Macaca fascicularis: one gene and its partner. The protein of the gene in region 1 interacts with the protein of each later gene in a pairwise test. Links are inferred from orthologs where the notes say so. Each region holds a gene or a part of one and is shown on either strand. Other genes may lie near its edges.

Region 1 (5,504 bases):
TTATTTATTTATTTAATTTATTTTTGAGACAGAGTCTCACTCTTGTCGCCCAGGCTGGAGTGCAATGGCATGATCTCGGCTCACTGCAACCTCCATCTCCCGGGTTCAAGCAATTCTCCTGCCTCAGCCTCCAGAGTAGCTGGGACTACAGGCACGCACCACTACGCCGGGCTAATTTTTGTATTTTTAGCAGAGACAAGGTTTCGCCATGTTTGGCCAGGCTGGTCTCGAACTCCTTACCTCTGGTGATCTGCCTGCCTTGGCCTCCCAAAGTGCTGGGATTACAGGCGTGAGCCACCGCACCCAGCTGGAACTTAATTTTTTTAAAGATCGTGTTGCTCTATCGCCCAAGCTGGAGTGCAGTGGTGCAACCATAGCTCACTTGCAGCCACAAATTCCTGGCTTCAGGTGATCCTCCTACATCAGCCTCCCAAGAACTGGGAACTAACGGCTGTTTCTCTGCTGTCCTTCTCAAGACAAGGGAGGGAGACAATGCTGGGTTTCCCTTTGGGACAGGCTCTGAGACAAGGTGGAGGTGCTGCTTGTGGCCACAGAGCAGGGGACTCTGGGTTGCAGGTGTGGCCTGGCTTGAGTAGGCTTTAGTGGGCTTCTCTCTGCCTGCACCACCCCCGGGCTGGGTGGTTGTCTCTGAGGCCAACCCTACTCCCTAATGGGCAGGCTGGACAGCTGCCCTCTCTGTTTGCCCCTCTACCACCCAAAAGGCGGGAGGCTCTGGAGACCAGGACCCTGCCTGCGCCGGCCTGTGCCCCAGGCGTGAGGGGGTGCCCCACAGATCTCTGCTGAGCTGAGGCTGAATGGCACCCCTTGGGGGTCCTGCCAGGTCAGAGCAGGGTGCTTTCCCATACAGAAACGCCCCCAGGTCGGGACTCATTCCTGTGGGAGGCGTCTTGTGGCCACCGCTGCTTCTCGCTGCACTAATCACAGTACCTCTGTGGGCAGCAGGCGCTGACCATCCGGGCCTGCCTCAGACCCTCTCCTCCCTTCCGGGGCGCTGCGCTGGGACCGATGGGGGGCGCCAGGCCTGTGGGCACCGCCCTGCAGGGGCCGCTCCAGCTCACTGGAGGGTGGGGAGGGTCACACTTGGGGTCTTCAGATCGCGCCGACCACGCGCAATCTCTGCGCTCTGCGCAGGGGCTCGCCCACCCTCTCCCCGTGCAGCGAGTCCCCAGCAGGCTCCCCGCAGGGCTGTCCAGGTGAGCCTGGCTCTGGCCGCGGGCCAGTGTGGCGGGCGGGCAAGCCCCGAGGCCACCTCGGCTCAGAGCCCACGGCCGGCTCTCGCCCAGCTCCAGACGTCTGCGAGGGTTCCATTCCGCTTGGGCCGGCGCCCCGCGCGCCGCGCCCTGGCCCCGCCCCGCCCTGGCCCCGCCCCTCCCTCACCCCGCCCCCTCTGCACCCCACCCCTCCCTGGCCCCGCCCTCCGCGCCCCACCTCTCATCTTCCCGCCCCACCCCCAGCCACGCCCCTCACGGTCAGCCCCCTCCCCTATCCGCCCCGCCTCTCATCGTCTCGCCTCGCTCCGCCCCTCAGCCGTCCCGCCCCTCAGGCGCCCTGCCTAATGTCCCCGCCCCCAGCCTCGCCCCGCTCCGCCCCAGCCTCGCCCCGCCCCGCCCCTCAGGCGCCCTGCCTGCTGTGCCCCGCCCCAGCCTCGCCACGCCCCTCGTTACCATGTAGTCCCGCCCCGTTCCTTCCGCGTCCCGCCTCGCCCTGCCCCTTCACAGCTTCGCCCCACCCCATTACAGTCTTGCCACGCCCCGTCCCCTGTCCGTTGAGCCCTGCTCCTTCGCCCAGGTGGGGCGCTGCGCTGTCAGAGGCTTTGGTGGCTCTGTGAGGCAGAACATGCGGGCGCAGGGACTGGCTGGCTCCCTGGCCAGTCATTGGCAGAGTCCGCAGGCTAGGGCTGTCAATCATCCTGGCCGGCGTGGCCCCGCCTCCGCCGGCGCAGCGTCTTGAGACGCAAGGCGCCGCGGGGGCTGCCGGGACGGGTCCAAGATGGACGGCCGCTTCGGTTCCGCTTTTACCCGCGGCCCAGAGCCCCATTCATTGCCCCGGTGCTGAGCGGCGCTGCGAGTCGGCCCGAGGCCTCCGGGGACTGCCCAGCCGGGCGGGAGACCGCCATGGCGACCCTGGAAAAGCTGATGAAGGCCTTCGAGTCTCTCAAGTCCTTCCAGCAGCAGCAGCAGCAGCAGCAGCAACAGCCACAGCCGCAGCCGCCGCCGCCGCCGCCGCCGCCTCCTCCTCAGCTTCCTCAGCCGCCGCAGGCACAGCCGATGCTGCCTCAGCCGCAGCCGCCCCCGCCGCCGCCCCCGCCACCACCCGGCCCGGCTGTGGCTGAGGAGCCGCTGCACCGACCGTGAGTTTGGGCCCGCTGCAGCTCCCTGTCCCGGCGGGTCCCAGCCTACGGCGGGGATGGCGGAATCCTGCACCCTGCGGGCCGGCGACACGAACCCCCCCGGCCCCGCAGCGACAGAGTGACCCAGCAACCCAGAGCCAATGAGGGACACCCGCCCCCTCCTGCGGCGAGACCTTCCCCCACTTCAGCCCCGGTCCCGCACTTGGGTCTTGTCCTCCCGCGAGGGGAGGCAGAACCTCGTTGGGACCTGTCCTGAATTCACGGAGGGGAGTCACGGCCTCAGCCCTCTCGCCCTTTCCAGGGTGCGAAGAGTTGGGGCGAAAACTTGTTTCTTTTTATTTGCGAGAAACTAGGGCGGGGGTTTAACTGTGTTCTGAAGAGAACTTGGAAGAGCCGAGATTTGCTCAGGGCCACTTCCCTCATCTAGTCAGAGAGGGAAGAGGGCTGGGGGCGCGGGACACCTCGAGAGGAGGCGGGGTTTGGAGCTAGAGAGATGTGGGGGCAGTGGATGACATAATGCTTTTAGGACGCCTCGGCGGGAGTGGCTGGGGTGGGGGGCGGGGAGTGAGGGCGCGTCCAATGGGAGATTTATTTTCCAAGTGGCACTTAAAACAGCCTGAGATTTGAGGCTCTTCCTACATTCTCAGGGCATTTCATTTAGTTCATGATCGCGGTGGTAGTAACACGATTTTAAGCACCACCTAAGAGACCTGCTCATCTAAGCGCAAGTTAGTGTGCAGGCATTTGAATGAGTTGTGGTTGCCAAATAAGTGGTGAACTTACGTGGTATTAATAAAATTATCTTAAATATTAGGAAGAGTTGATTGAAGTTTATTGCCTGTTTGTGTTGGGAATAAAACTAACACGTTGCTGAGGGGGAGGTTAATTGCCGAGGGATGAATGAGGTATACATTTTACCAGTATTGCAGTCAGGCTTGCCAGAATATGGGAGGTCTGCAGACTCCGTGGACATCTCATGTGCCAGTGAAAGGGTTTCTGTTCGCCTCATTGCTGACAGCTTGTTACTTTTTGGAAGCTAGAGGTCTCTGTTGCTTGTTCTTGGGGAGAATTTTTGAAACAGAAAAAGAGACCATTAAAACATCTAGCGGAACCCCAGGACGTGGGAGTGTGTGCTGAGTGTTTAGCAGGATTTAGGAAGTACTCCGCTGCAGTTCAGGCCTTTCTCTTACCTCTCAGTGTTCTATTTCCGATCTGGACGTGTATCAGATGGCATTTGATAAGAATATCTCTATTAAGACTGATTAATTTTTAGTAATATTTCTTGTTCTTTGTTTCTGTTATGATCCTTGCCTTGTCTTGAAAGTTTAATTAGAAGAGGAGGATTTGGAGAGCAGTGTTAGCTTATTTGTTAGAGTAAAATTTAGGAATAAATTCTTCTAAAGGATGGAAAAACTTTTTGGATATTTAGAGAAATTTTTAAACAATTTGGCTTATCTCTTCAGTAAGTAATTTCTCATCCTTCCAGAAATTTACTGTAGTGCCTTTCTAGGAGGTAGGTGTCATAGAAGTTCACACATTGCATGTATCTTGTGTAAACACTAAACTGGGCTCCTGATGGGAAGGAAGACCTTTCTGCTGGGCTGCTTCAGACACTTGATCATTCTGAAAATATGCCGTCTCTTTCCTGTGCTGATTTGATAGAACCTGCGTTTGCTTATCTTCAAAATATGGGTATCAAGAAATTTCCTTTGCTGCCTTTACAGAGGAGATAGATTTTGTTTCATTACTTTATTTTAAGGTAATATATGATTACCTTATTTTAAAAATTTAATCAGGCCTGGCAAGGTGGCTCATGCCTTTAATCCGAGCACTTTGGGAGGCTTAGGCGGATGAATCACCTGAGGTCAGGAGTTCGAGACCAGTCTGGCTAACATGGTGAAACCCCATCTCTACTAAAAGTACAAAAATTAGTTGGTCATGGTGGCACGTGCCTGTAATGCCAGCTACCTGGGAGGCTGAGGCAGGAAAATCGCTGGAACCCGGGAGGCAGAGGCTGCAGTGAGCTGAGACTGCGCCACTGCACTCCAGCCTGGGTGCCAGAGCGAGACTCTTGTCTCAAAAAAAAAAAAAAAAAAAGAAATTATTATTTTTGCATAAGTAATACATTAACATGACACAAATTCCGTAATTACAAAAGAGCAATACTTAAAATATCTTCCTTCCACCCCTTTCATCTGAGTACCTAACTTTGTCCCCAAGAACAAGCACTATTACAGTTCCTCCTGTATCCTGCCAGATATAATCTATGCATATTGTAAGATAGATTTAAAATGCTGTAAAAATAAAAGTAGTTTACGGTAATAATTTTTTTTCTTTATTTTTTTTGAGATGTAGTCTCACATTGTCACCCAGGCTGGAGTGCGGTGGTATGATCTTGGCTCACTGCAACCTCCACCTCCCAGGTTCAAACGATTCTCCTGCCTCAGCCTCCAGAGTCGCTGGGATTACAGGTGCCCACCACCATGTCCAGCTGATTTTTGTATTTTTAGTAGAGATGGGGTTTCACCATGTTGGCCAGGCTGGTCTTGAACTCCTGACCTCGGAATCCATCCACCTCGGCCTCCCAAAGTGCTGGGGTTACAGGTGTGAGCCACTGCCCCTGGCTAGAATAATAACTTTTAAAGGTTCTTAGCATTCTCTGAAATCAACTGCATTAGGTTTATTTATAGTTATTTTAAATAAAATGCATATTTGTCATATTTGTATGTATTTTGCTGTTGAGAAAGGAGGTATTCACTAATTTTGAGTAACAAACACTGCTCACAACAAACAAACTCAAAAGTTTGGATTTTGGCATTTCTGTTCATGTGCTTCAGCCAAAAAATCCTCTTCTCAAAGTAAGATTGACTAAAGCAATTTAGAAAGTATCTGTTTTTATGGCTCTTGCTCTTTTGTGTGGAACCGTGGTGTCATGCCATGCATGGGCCTCAGTCTAAGTATGAGCGTATGTGCTCTGCTCAGCATACAGGATGTGGGAGTTCCGTGTGGGGCTGGCCACAGTCTCAGCAAATCTAGCATGCTTGGGAGGGTCCTCACAGTAATTAGGAGGCAACTGATACTTGCTTCTGGCACTTCCTTATTCTCCTTCAGATTCCTATCCGGTGTTTCCCTG
Region 2 (4,762 bases), on another chromosome or scaffold:
GAGGCGCTGCAGTAGTCGCTGCAGTAGTGGGGGAAAATGGAAGGTGGAGGGTGGAGGGTGGAGTGTTTGCTGCAGGACAACTGAGTGGAGGGCGGGGACAGGTGCGAACTGGGGAGGCCCAGGGGGCTGGGGAAGCAAGTAAGGGCCAGGGCCAGAGTCAGCTTCAAGGGAACAACAGCCCCTTGCCCTAAGGCCCCTAACTCTCTAGCTGTTTCCTGACCCCAGGCCAGGGTTGGGAGTCCTCTGGGCATCCATTTTTTCTCAAGGAACTGGACGGAGTATACACAGGAAAGAAAGCTGTCACCCTCTTGCCATCTGGCTCCAGGGGCCTCCAGTCCAGCATTCCTCCTTCTTCCCTTGATTGGGTGGGGCCGCATGATGGGCAGCCAGGCTCTGGGCTGTCCCACTAGAGCAGGCTGCAAACACAGCCATGTTTCAGCGAGGCACTAATCTTCTTCCCTGGTGTCCCAGCCCACCAGTGCCACATTACAGCCCAGAGTGAGTTCTACAAGCGTTGCTGGCCTAATGGATGGGTTGGGGGAAGGGGGTGGGACAGGGGCTGGAGGAAGGGCTCTCAGGTTCATCACGGCACAGGAACAACACGCATGGTGTTGGTGAAGCCGGAGCCAGGGCGCCATCCGGTCAGCACAATGACCACATCTCCCTTCTTGAAGAAGCCTCGGGCCTTGCCTGGGGGAAGAGAAGGGAGATTGGTAAGTAAAAGCCAAGCCAGGCAGGTGTGCACCTGGGCAGCTGCCCCATAGCCTGAGCACTGAACTAGGCTGGCTGACCACTACACTACTTCCTCACACCACAAGGTGGCACCAAACTTACAGCCCAGGCAAACAGGAGGGAGGCCCTGAAATGTCCTTATCACTCAGATGGCAGGGTTGGCAGGGTTGGCAGGGACCTTTGGACATCTTTCACTTCATCCTCCAGAGGGTGCAAAGCTTTGCCCAGGGTCAAGAGCTAGCTGCTTCCTGTCATCCGGTGATACCCTACCTTATACAGGGACAATGGCCACATCAGTACATAATCTGTGTATGCCACCCCACAGCACAGGAGCTGTAGCCAATTTTATTTAAAAAACAAAAACAAAAACAAAACCCTCAGTAATGAGCAGATGCCAAAGAATGGACAATTTTGCTTTGAGTCCCAGACTAGAAGAGAAGAGGAAAGGAACTGCTCAACCCTACAACTCAAAGGACCCTTTTCTCTCCTGGGCTCAGCTTAGGACTTCCAGGAATGACAGATTCAGAAAGAACATTCCCAATGAGGGAGAGAACAGTCAGCTGGGCCTTTTGCCCCTCTATGTTTCCCTTTCTATTCCCCAAACTTTCAGGGTCCCACAGAAGCCAATGCTCAAGCATCCCCAAACCCCTCTAGGCTCTAGCCCCTGCTCCAGCCACGTACCAACATTCATGGCAAAGTTCACCCGGAGATCCACGTCCTCAGCCCAGGCCTCCTGGACTGGGTCCTTGCACAGCACAGGGAAGATGCCACGGTACAGGTGGGCCTGACGAGCTGTCTGGGGATTCCGGGTCACAGCAATGATGGGGGCACGTGGGCGGTATCTGGCCACCTGATGAGCAGACCTGAGATGGGATGGGGGACATACAGAAGAGACCATTACACAAGGCCCCAGGAAGTACCTCAGGGTATTCAAACAGCTCATCCTCTCACCCAGCTCACTGATGGCTCTGGCCTCTTCAACATCTGCTCCCTAGGACCCCTCCCAAGGCTAGGGCAGCCCCTCATCCTATATCCTCCATAGCAGGCTAGGCTACCATCTGCCCTCTACCCCCACTCCACAGGCCAAGGGCCCAGGATTATCCTGACCCAGGATTATCTTGACCCAAGGTCAGCCTCACCCACTTATCTCACACAGCCCATGGTTGGCAGAACCCCTCCTACACTCTGACACAGACAGGCAGCCCTGGCCCAGTGTCACCAGCACCCATTCCTCTCGCTGCCGGTGACACCTACAAGCCAAGTAGCATGTAGAGCAGTAGCAGAGCTGACCAGCCCCATGGGAATCAACATCAGGCTTCTCTACTTTTGTGCCCTCTTCCCTGTCCCACATGGCCCCTGGCTCCTGAAACAGTCCAGCAACTGAGCTATAAAGGCCCAGAGTCAAATCTGAGTATCTAGGTGAGGCTTAGAAATCTAAGTGCTACTCAGCAGGCAAGAACAGGAAATGGGAGTGTTGGTGCAGGAGCAGCTCTGCCTGCCAAAGCTCCTTTGGAAGGCAGGGGACCCTTCTGAAGCCCCTGTGCCAGGCGCTTTCTTGAACACTGACACTGCACACTTGTAGGTGCAGCTGTGTCTCAGGAGCTGGGGAGGGGCACCAGAAGGGAAGTTATGAGGACACTCAACAGGTGTCAGGGAAACTTAAGCCATATCATAGCAGAGAAGTCCCTGCACTTCACGCTTGGCCTATATGCAAGGCCATCAGAGGGAAGCAACTGCTGAAGCTAGGACCAGCTGAGTGAAACCCCAGAAGACTAGAGCTTAAAATAGCCAAACAGCAAGAACTGGACCTTTTAAGAAAGGTCAACCCTACTGGTTGAAGCTGTTCAGCCAAGAGTGGGAGGCTGCAGCCCTCTGCTGAGGGCATCTGCACAGAGCTTGTGTCCTGGTTCTCTGGGCTGCCCATGCCCACCTGCTACTCCTCAGTGCATGGGCACTGCCTGTTTGCTCTTCTCCAGGAAACCCTCGCTGCCCTGTGGGCAGGGACAAGGAGCATAATCCCTAACTAGGAGAGTGAAGGACATTAACTCAATGTCCTGGGCTAAGGAAGGGATCCCAAGTTGGAGGCTCAGCATAGGCCACACAGTCCTCAGCCTGGCTGCCTGGCCCCACAGAATGTCAGCCAAGATAGCACAGCAACCTCTCCTGAGCTGGAAACCAATTTGTCTTTAGGGCTCGAAAACAGCAGGGACTAGTGCGCCAAATGGAGGCACAGTAAACAGCATTTAAATAAATTCATTTTCCCAACTGAAATTTTTAAAGAGCACATAGTAACTGGAATAAGCAAAAGTGGTTATCTTTTACTATTTTAGAGGACTAAATTTTTTTTTTTTTTTTTTTGAGACGGAATCTCACTCTGTCGCCCAGGCTGGAGTGCAGTGGTGCGATCTCGGCTCACTGCAAGCTCCACCTCCTGGGTTCACGCCATTCTCCTACCTCAGCCTCCAGAGTAGCTGGGACTACAGGCGCCCGCCGCCACGCCCAGCTAATTTTTTGTATTGTTAGTAGAGACGGGGTTTCACCGTGTTAGCCAGGATGGTCTCAATCTCCTGACCTCGTGATCCGCCCACCTCGGCCTCCCAAAATGCTGGGATTACAGGCACAAGTCACCGCGCCCGGCCTACAGGAGTGAGCCACAGCGCCTGGCTACTAAATTTTCAATATCAAATAACCATTTGTAGTCAGCCTGTGCACTATTATGTAATAAATCTCCAGCATAAACTTGCTTTTGATCCAAATGTTCTGACATTCCTTATGTGTGCTGCCTAGAGTCCTCTGGGCCCAGGGAAGGGGCTCTGCTCAATCCTTCTCTGCAGGCCCAAGGTGGCAGGCAGAGGGGTCTTACCTTGGCTCAGTGCCACCTGAGCATTGTTCAATGCACTGCTCCCAGGACCCCCAAGGAGAGGTGCCACTGAGCGGGGCATCCCAGGGAGCCGCTGCCACCTCCTACCTGCCAGACTTGGTGAGGACGATTATGGCCCCACTGCAGCACTTGAAGGAGGCCTCCACGGCACCCACGGCGGTGGCTTCTGTGGGGTCGCTGGTAATGGGCGCCAGGCGGCGGAGTTCCTCAAATAATTGCAAGTGGTAGATGGCGGCCTCTGCCTCACGGGCAATCTAGGGGAGCAACATCCGTCCAGAGGGACGAGAGGGGGACAGAGCTTTGTCAGAGCTTTGTCACAGAAGGAGAGGGAGGGGAAGAGTCACCCGGACAGCTGGTGAGGAACATGTTCCTAGGGACAAAGGCCAAGAGTAGCCCAGTCACTGGAGATGCTGAGCTGAGCCAATTTCAAGACTCCACAGAAACCAGTCCTTCACCAAGTGCCTGTGACATCTGCTGTGCCTACTGAGCCACAGGACCCTTTGGTCCTGCCCTGCCATGACCTCCCTGGCGGTATTCCTATAGACAAGAAGAGGCTCTGTGCCCAGGTGCCAGGTTGGGCCTGGCTGTCTTCTCCTGGAACAGCTGAAGCAAGAGGCTGGTTATCCTAGCAGTGTTACCTGCCCTTAGGGCCCTACCTGCCAGACTCCGTCAGAACTATCAAAGCTGCTGCTAAACACTTATAAGAAGCCTCCACGCTGCCCATGGCCATGGCTTCCATGAGGTCTGTGGAGTGACTTGAGGCTCGCACAAGTTCTTCAAACAGCTTGCGGTGGAACATGGCTGCCTCAGCCTCACGAGCTATCTGTAAGGTTTAGGGGAAGAGGGGAAAAGGAAGAGGGAAGGAGGAGGAAAAAAACAAGACACAACACATGGGAAGACAGAATGGGGAATTAATCAGAGAGGAAGGTAACCTTAGGTTAATTGGCTAAATCTGTCCTTCAGGCAGATGCGGAGGTAGGGTGATGAAAGTCCAACTGCTTCAGGAGGTGCTGCCACTTCCCCTCCAACACAGGGGAAATTGGCTCTTCCGTTCTGGAAGGATTTGATTGGGGATGGAGGGAGACAATCTGGCAGTAGGCTCTAGCACTCTGGCATGAAAACATGCCCAGGCTGGGCCCACACCACTCC

The links. The genes of interacting proteins can lie anywhere in the genome.
Region 2: the proteins of HTT (region 1) and PKM interact in binary tests that used the Homo sapiens proteins (3 or more experiments, as listed by UniProt). The link is inferred for Macaca fascicularis from reciprocal best matches to the Homo sapiens genes HTT and PKM.

What each region holds. Positions count from the first base shown.
Region 1 is NC_088379.1:3,291,765-3,297,268, forward strand, and holds the start of HTT (huntingtin), read left to right. Parts: upstream 1-1,996; 5' UTR 1,997-2,135; coding exon 2,136-2,371; intron 2,372-5,504.
Region 2 is NC_088381.1:49,032,301-49,037,062, forward strand, and holds part of PKM (pyruvate kinase PKM), read right to left. Parts: intron 4,437-4,762; coding exon 4,270-4,436; exon of another isoform or gene 3,868-4,269; coding exon of another isoform or gene 3,701-3,867; intron 1,596-3,700; coding exon 1,414-1,595; intron 691-1,413; coding exon 584-690; 3' UTR 1-583. UniProt on the Homo sapiens protein: Catalyzes the final rate-limiting step of glycolysis by mediating the transfer of a phosphoryl group from phosphoenolpyruvate (PEP) to ADP, generating ATP.